Linked DNA regions of Danio rerio. The protein of the gene in region 1 purifies or fractionates together with the protein of each later gene. This does not show direct contact. Links are inferred from orthologs where the notes say so. Each region holds a gene or a part of one and is shown on either strand. Other genes may lie near its edges.

The links. Proteins that work in one complex are often made in the same cells at the same time.
Region 2: the proteins of gli2b (region 1) and sufu purify together in Homo sapiens (affinity purification with mass spectrometry; 3 studies listed by BioGRID and IntAct, with this or other methods). This does not show direct contact. The link is inferred for Danio rerio from reciprocal best matches to the Homo sapiens genes GLI2 and SUFU.

What each region holds. Positions count from the first base shown.
Region 1 is NC_133186.1:46,393,157-46,396,656, reverse strand, and holds part of gli2b (zinc finger protein GLI2b), read right to left. Parts: intron 492-3,500; coding exon 167-491; intron 1-166. UniProt on the Homo sapiens protein: Functions as a transcription regulator in the hedgehog (Hh) pathway. Functions as a transcriptional activator. May also function as transcriptional repressor. Requires STK36 for full transcriptional activator activity.
Region 2 is NC_133188.1:12,265,192-12,268,691, reverse strand, and holds part of sufu (suppressor of fused homolog), read right to left. Parts: intron 3,059-3,500; coding exon 2,986-3,058; intron 581-2,985; coding exon of another isoform or gene 578-580; coding exon 424-577; intron 1-423. UniProt on the Homo sapiens protein: Negative regulator in the hedgehog/smoothened signaling pathway. Down-regulates GLI1-mediated transactivation of target genes. Down-regulates GLI2-mediated transactivation of target genes. Part of a corepressor complex that acts on DNA-bound GLI1.

The DNA.
Region 1 (3,500 bases):
TCTGATGGGTAAATCTGATTGCTTGGTTATAATGGAAGTCAATTGGACAAAAACGGCCACCAACAAAACCAAAGGGTAGTACATTTTAACAGTACATAAGGGTTAATTCGATTAATCACCCAACCCTAGCGTCAGTTGAAATAAATTAGTTAGGTAGTTTGTTCACCAGTATTGATGGGTGGTAGTTTGGTGCAGGGGGCAGGAGGAGCTGTGTTTGCCCAGGAGCACGAGTCCCGCACCGACTTCAGCTTCTCCTGCTTCAGGTGTGTGAGTCTGTGGGCCGGGCCGGCGTTCTTGCGCAAATGAAGGCCCAGGATTCCTGTGGAGACGGTGGAATCCACAATGGGCACGTCATCCAGGGCACTCAGATCTCCCACGCTGCCCCCGCTGAGTCCCGCCGGCTCTACTCCACCGCCATGGAGGCTGGCACTGCCAAGCGGTGACGGCTCGCTGCTGCATGATGACTGACCACCAGGGCTGGACTGATACATCTGAGGACGGAATAATAGGAAGTTTGATTATAATATAGGAGATCGATGGAGAGAATGCATACAGTGTTCAGCATAAATGAGTGAAGATGAACATTTGTATGCTCCAGTTTTGGCTTCATGACTTATTAATCTAATATAAAGGCACAAATATATTATTGCATTATCATATAGATCTCTGAGCTTGAGATCACAGTCCAATTTGCACACTAATAACACAAGAGAAACATTAAAAGTATATCATTTAGTATTATGTTTATATTCCTAAAGATGTTTGGTGAGTAAACTCATATTTCATATGAAGGCACCGTGTCTGGAACAGGATCTGGAAACGCAACTTTCATCGGTTCTCTTTCAAATAAACTAGACAAAAAGTGATGAACATGCACCCGCAGCACCGGTTGCTTTCAGTTTGAACAGATTATTAAATGGCCTAAAGTTAACCGTGTGCATGTGATCCTTTCATTATCACACACGGTATGTTTCACCTGCTTTTATTTGCTTACGGTTTTATTTGCCTTTTTAAAATGGTTTAATTATTATAATTTTTTAACAACATTGCTTTAATGCACTGCAAAAAATGCTTTTCTTAGATTTTTTTTTTCTAGTTTCTAGTCCAAATATATAAAAATTCCTAAATCCAGAAGAATTTTCTAGACAAGCAAAACACACGGTCTCATTTTGAGAGATTATATGGCAATATTAAGTGAGTTTTTCCTTAAAACAAGCAAAATAATCTGCCAATGGGGTAAGCAAAATAATCTTACGTCAAAAAAAAAAAAAAAAAAAAAGATTAATTTGCTTACCCCATTGGCAGATTATTTAGCTTGTTTTAAGGAAAAACTTACATTATATTGGCATATTATTTCTCAAAACAAGACGATATGTTTTGCTTGTCTAGAAAATGCTTCTTGATATAAGAAATTTTAGATATTTAGACTAGAAACAAGACAAAAAATCTAAGCAAGAAAAGCATTTTTTGCAGTGTGGGAGATTTATGTGCAGTCAACTGGTGATCTGAGAGATCTTTAGCCACGACACATTACTGTGCATATTTTTGATACATGACAATAGATATTTTTTAAAAGTCAATTTCTTTTCTTTTTATTTTTTAAGAAATGTTTTGTTAAATAAAAAGTATAGGATACAGCTATATTTAGCTTGTTATGCCACATAAAAAATTTGTGGCTAAGAAATAATTATTGTTTCGTGTGGTTATAGAGATAAATTTGGTAAATCGTTAATTTTGAGCTCTAAAAAAAGTCATGTGAAATAAAAACTAATTGCAATATAACACCCATTTAAAATGACCCATTTTATCATGCTCATTGAGCAAACTCATACTCGACACACAAAAAGAGAAATGAATGAGGACGCATGACACAAAATTTAAATCAAGTCATTTTAGCATGTCAAAGTCAAATTTATGCATATAAAATATATTTTACCAACAACAAAGATGTGGCTGGTAATAATGCAGAGTGGCTAGTAACATTGGAAAACTACTAGCCATGGTGGCCGGTAATTATAAAAGTTAATGTAAAGCCCTGCCTACAATGCATACAGTGCTCAGCATAAATGAGTGAAATTGAACATTTCTATCCATTTGATATAGTCAATATATTTTGGTGCATTTAAACACCAAAATTTAGTTTTATTGAATGGTTATATTAATTGAAATAAGAGTTGTCACCAAACATCCTTAGGAATAGAAAGATAATGTACATGTTATTGCAAAATAAAGAAATAAAACAGCTAAATAAAATGTACAAAAAATGTTTCACTTAATTTTTTCATGTTTATTAAAATACAATTTTGTAATATTTTTTTGCCCAACAAATTCATTTGTTTGTGCTCATTTGATCCTCATTTTTTTTCCGTTAGATTAGTTCAGTTTTGGCTAATGCATATGCACAAATATATTATCGTAAATCATCCTCTAGAACATTAATTTAAAAGAGGGATCTGTGAGCCTAAGATCACAGTTTAAAAATGAGTTTAAAACAAAATAAATCAAGAGAACGATTAAAAACATAATTTAGTTGAGATTTTGTAGCTTGTTTTTGAGTTAAATTCTTTTAGTTTCTATTGCTACAGATATTTAGCAATATGTGACCAATGGGGGCTCATTCTGAAAAAGTACCACTGTATACATTTCTGGAGAGCTCCAAATACGTCCCAGGAGCTACATTTTGTTGCAGTTTTTGTTTTCACGAATCCACCAGAGGGCGTTGTGTATGCTTTTTCATATCTCAGTTTTCTTGCCATTTGTCCCTGCTGTCCTCATGTAAAGCCACCAGAGGCTGCTGTCGACTGACTGACTACTCCTTCGCCCACCCACTTCTCTAAACCCAACCAACAGTGTTTTAAAAAGCAATCCAGAAAAAGAATTCAAGTCCTCGTCTGATTTTTACCACATTTTCAGATTTTTACTACGTTCTCACCCTTTTATTTACTTGCTTGTTTTATTTTTTGGCTTCTGTTTTTTGTCTTACTCCCTTTCTGGAAGTGTTTTTCGACAAACCCAAACCTCATCGTCGTGGTCAACCACACTCTGCGTCTCAAGTGTGTAAATGTACATGGTGAACTAACTGGGCAAACTGATAACAGCGGTAAAGCCGGCCATACGGAGATAACTGTCGGCTGGTAGCACGAAAAGGAACGACGTCATACCGCCCTGTAGCGTTAGTTTTAAAGACAAAATGCAGCCCTATGTACCTCTGCCTACATAATTCGCGATCTCCAGAAATGTACACACGGGTATGTTTTCAGAATGAGCTTGTGTTGCAAGCCACTTATTTTAATAAACGTAACTGTTTAGTAAAGCAATTTTGTTTAAACGCACTAAACAGTATAGCCTATATATTTACAAAAAAAAGATCAAAATATTGATTTTCAGAAAGAATATATACTCGTTTATACAGTGATATAAAACTTGTCACATCAAGTCCAACACGACCCTCACAATCATATAATAAATTAAGAAAAACATAAAAATATTTAAAATTTTGT
Region 2 (3,500 bases), on another chromosome or scaffold:
AGAGGGACTGTATTTAAAAGATATTGTGCTAAATGTTAGCATTTAGGCAGATGCCTTACTGCTCCTTTAAAACATCTATAATAATTGTGAAGAGTAAAGCGGAATACTTCATGGATTTCACCTATAGCAGGCTATTTTTAGAATGTAACTCCTGCAATTAACGAGCAACAACTGTACAGGCATAGTAGAATATATACAATATTGTATGGATATTGTAGAATAAGTGGAGGGATTTTCTATTTTTTACTATTTTGTCTATTTTTTCTATTTTACATCCCTTTAAGAATAGTATTTGTGATTTTCAGTTTGTGCATAAATCTATATTGATACAGAAAAACAAAATCCCTGCTTGAGACACTGTATTTTAATCAAGCTGGTTTGTTGAGCCGTTCTTAAATTGCATTTGTCCTTAGCATGCCTCACCTTTGTCCGACAGTCTGCGTGGCTGTGCCCCAATGCAAATGCTCCTGCTGTCGTCCTCGTCCTCGGGAGGTCTGCTCAAGTCATCCCAAGCACACTTGGCACTCACCCCACTCAGGTTAGAGCCATCCGTCTCGATGCCCTTATCCACTCGTTCCTGCTTTGGATGAGCAATCAACACACGCACATATCAGCAGGGGAGAAGCGTGGCTGGACATGTGTCCGTCTCAGTGTATAGAGCAGAGGACTAACAGCAGGTGGAGGGGTCCAGTTTAAGAGGCCAGACTTAATTACAAATCCACCTTTTCAATGCTGAAGCTTCACTGTGTGAGTGTGCACAGTGTGAGTATATTTTCATTTTTGGGTGAACTATACCTTTAAATCACCAGGAATTAAAATTGTGTGTTACTTGAGAGATGTAAACTGTGTTAAGGGAGTAAAGGTGGCAAATATTTCAAGGAAAAGACCATTTTAGCTTGGATGAGGCACTATATCTAAACAGGCTATACTCTCAACCCTAAAGTGTACATTTGAAACTTTGTTTAAAGTACATAAGTAGTGTAAATTGCAAAACAAATTAAATATCCAATATTTAACTTAAAGAATGCAAATACTGCATTAGCTTAATAAGTTAAAATTATTCTCTGATATCTACATAGCAGGTTTATGACGTCAGTAAATTTAATATATATATATTTTATTCTCATGTTTTGATCCATAAAATAGCCCTAGAATCAGAAGGTCTATAACTGACCATATATGGATCATGTCATGAATATTACTGAGCTCAGCACTGACCTGCTTCTCTCGCAGACATACACACCATAGACTAAACAATATGTAGTATCCGTGACGTCACCCATGGGTTTCTGAAGAGCGCAAACAAAGCTAAAAGTGGGCATGGCCAATCAACGCCATTTTGTTCGGGCGTCATCCCACCAGGCGTGGGGATACCAAAAAGGGCAAAAATGACGGAGCTACAGACCCATGCTATCATTTTGCTTAGACAGTTTTTTCATTAGGAGAAACGTTAAACACTTCATTATACCTGCGACACGTTTGTGTTCTGACCACATGCGCTTGATTATCAATCAGATTCTGGAGTGCAAGTTCAAGTAATTATAAATGATAAATTATCCTTTATAAACAAATACATTTATAGATATGGAATATACAAGCATATAATAATTTCACTCACGTGGAAAATGGAGGCGACTTAAATGGTTTGAGCAGAATTAAGTGCACAGTAGTGCAACAATACAGTTAGCTCACGGTTCAATACATACCTCAGTTTTTTAACACGGTTTTTGGTTCGGTTCTCATGGCTTGACACATGTGTGTTTTTATTATTCAATAGGCAATAGGGACAGTAAGAGGTAAGGGAGAAAAAAATATAAACAGTTTATTGCAATACTTATTTTGTTTTACTTAAAAGCCAAGAAAAGTACACTAGTTCCTAGTGCATTGTATAAAAAAATTAACACTGAAATCTCACAGCTGCTGGTAGCCCATGTACAAACTGGGGAATCCTACATTTAGAAAATAAACATACATGTGAATTAAATAAGGATAAATTGGTCATTTTAAATAAACATATTTGTTCTTAGGTAAACATAAATAAACCATCCTAATTATCTCGGTGCTGAAAAAATGCGAGACTGTAGTCTGTAACACGGATCGAGTGCTTTTATAAAATGACAAAAGCCCACATCTCCAATCACCGAAAACGGCTGCAAATCTTAAGCAACAAACACCCGCACTGCCTTAGTTATTTTTATGTGTCTCTTGGAACCAGTTGGGTAGATTCAGCGAGGGAATTGTTGCTATTTGGAGGACTTTATTACCTTCTCTGCTATCCTGCCTACAGACAGTGATATTGCTGGGTGATGGCGCTGCAGATGTGCAGTCATGGTTATACGTGTAAAACAATGCTTGCGCACAGTTATTTTTTGTTTACCGTTTTCTCTTTTATTGGCATTATGCTTACCAGCATTTTCACTCCAGTTTAAATTTGTTTTCTATTCGTTTTTTGCTGTTGTTGTTGTTTTTCAATAAATATTCAATAAAAATATTTTTTAGAAAATTTAAACAAGGTAATACTGAAAAAGCTTAGTTTTTTTCTTAAAAAGTTACTAATATTAGTAGTAGTGGTAGAAGTAGCAGTAGTAGTGGTGATAGATTACCCTTGTCCAGTAGAATGTGCTCTATCTCTGTCCAATTTACATTTAAGTTAAAGCAAACTTTTATTCAGAAACAAAGACGCTGGCTATTTTATTTTTTTACATAATATAATGATAAACTATAATAATAACAAATCGCTTATGAAGTGATTCAGAAGCGCATTAAAATGCAAGAAAACGAGAAGCCTCGCCTTTTCCATGCAGTTTTAGATGTGAAATGTGAACGGCCTCTTATGCAGCCAACTCTGTTTTTATGACTGAATTCCACCAACATTTTTTGCACTATGAAAATCATAGGGCTGTAAGCTTAGGAACATCATTATAAGTATTTTTATCTGCGAATAAGCTATTCTTTTAGCACCATGCACACTACAAAAATCCTTACTTGCAAATGTGGATCAATGTCAAATATGGATTCTCCTCTTCTCATGTCAGTGATTAACCATGGACCTCCAGCACTGCAAACAAACCAGAAGAGAAATCAAACTTCATTTCTGAATAATGAAAAATAAGAACAGCACAAAGCATCCCAGCCAATTTGAGCTCCCTCGTGCCTTCTATAAAGCAACAGCATTCAAAATCCACTACTCTTATCTGCAATTTCCACAATGCCCCAGCACGAAAAAATAAATGTAGTAAGACACAAATGCAGTGCCCTAGACTGAATTCAACAACCTTTGTAAATATAAGCAAAGAAAGCTGTGTGTTGTTCAACCTTTTAATCTTTTGCTAAAAAATAGTAATAAAAAATGAAGACATTTGAGTTGGTTTTGGATGAAAGCAGAAGCTTTTTCTTAAAGCCATTTCAAATTATTTGTGGTGATGTAGGTTACATCAAATAGTCAATCTTGAGTCAACCAAATAACTTCTGCAATTCTCCAGCTGTGAATCTTTGGATAT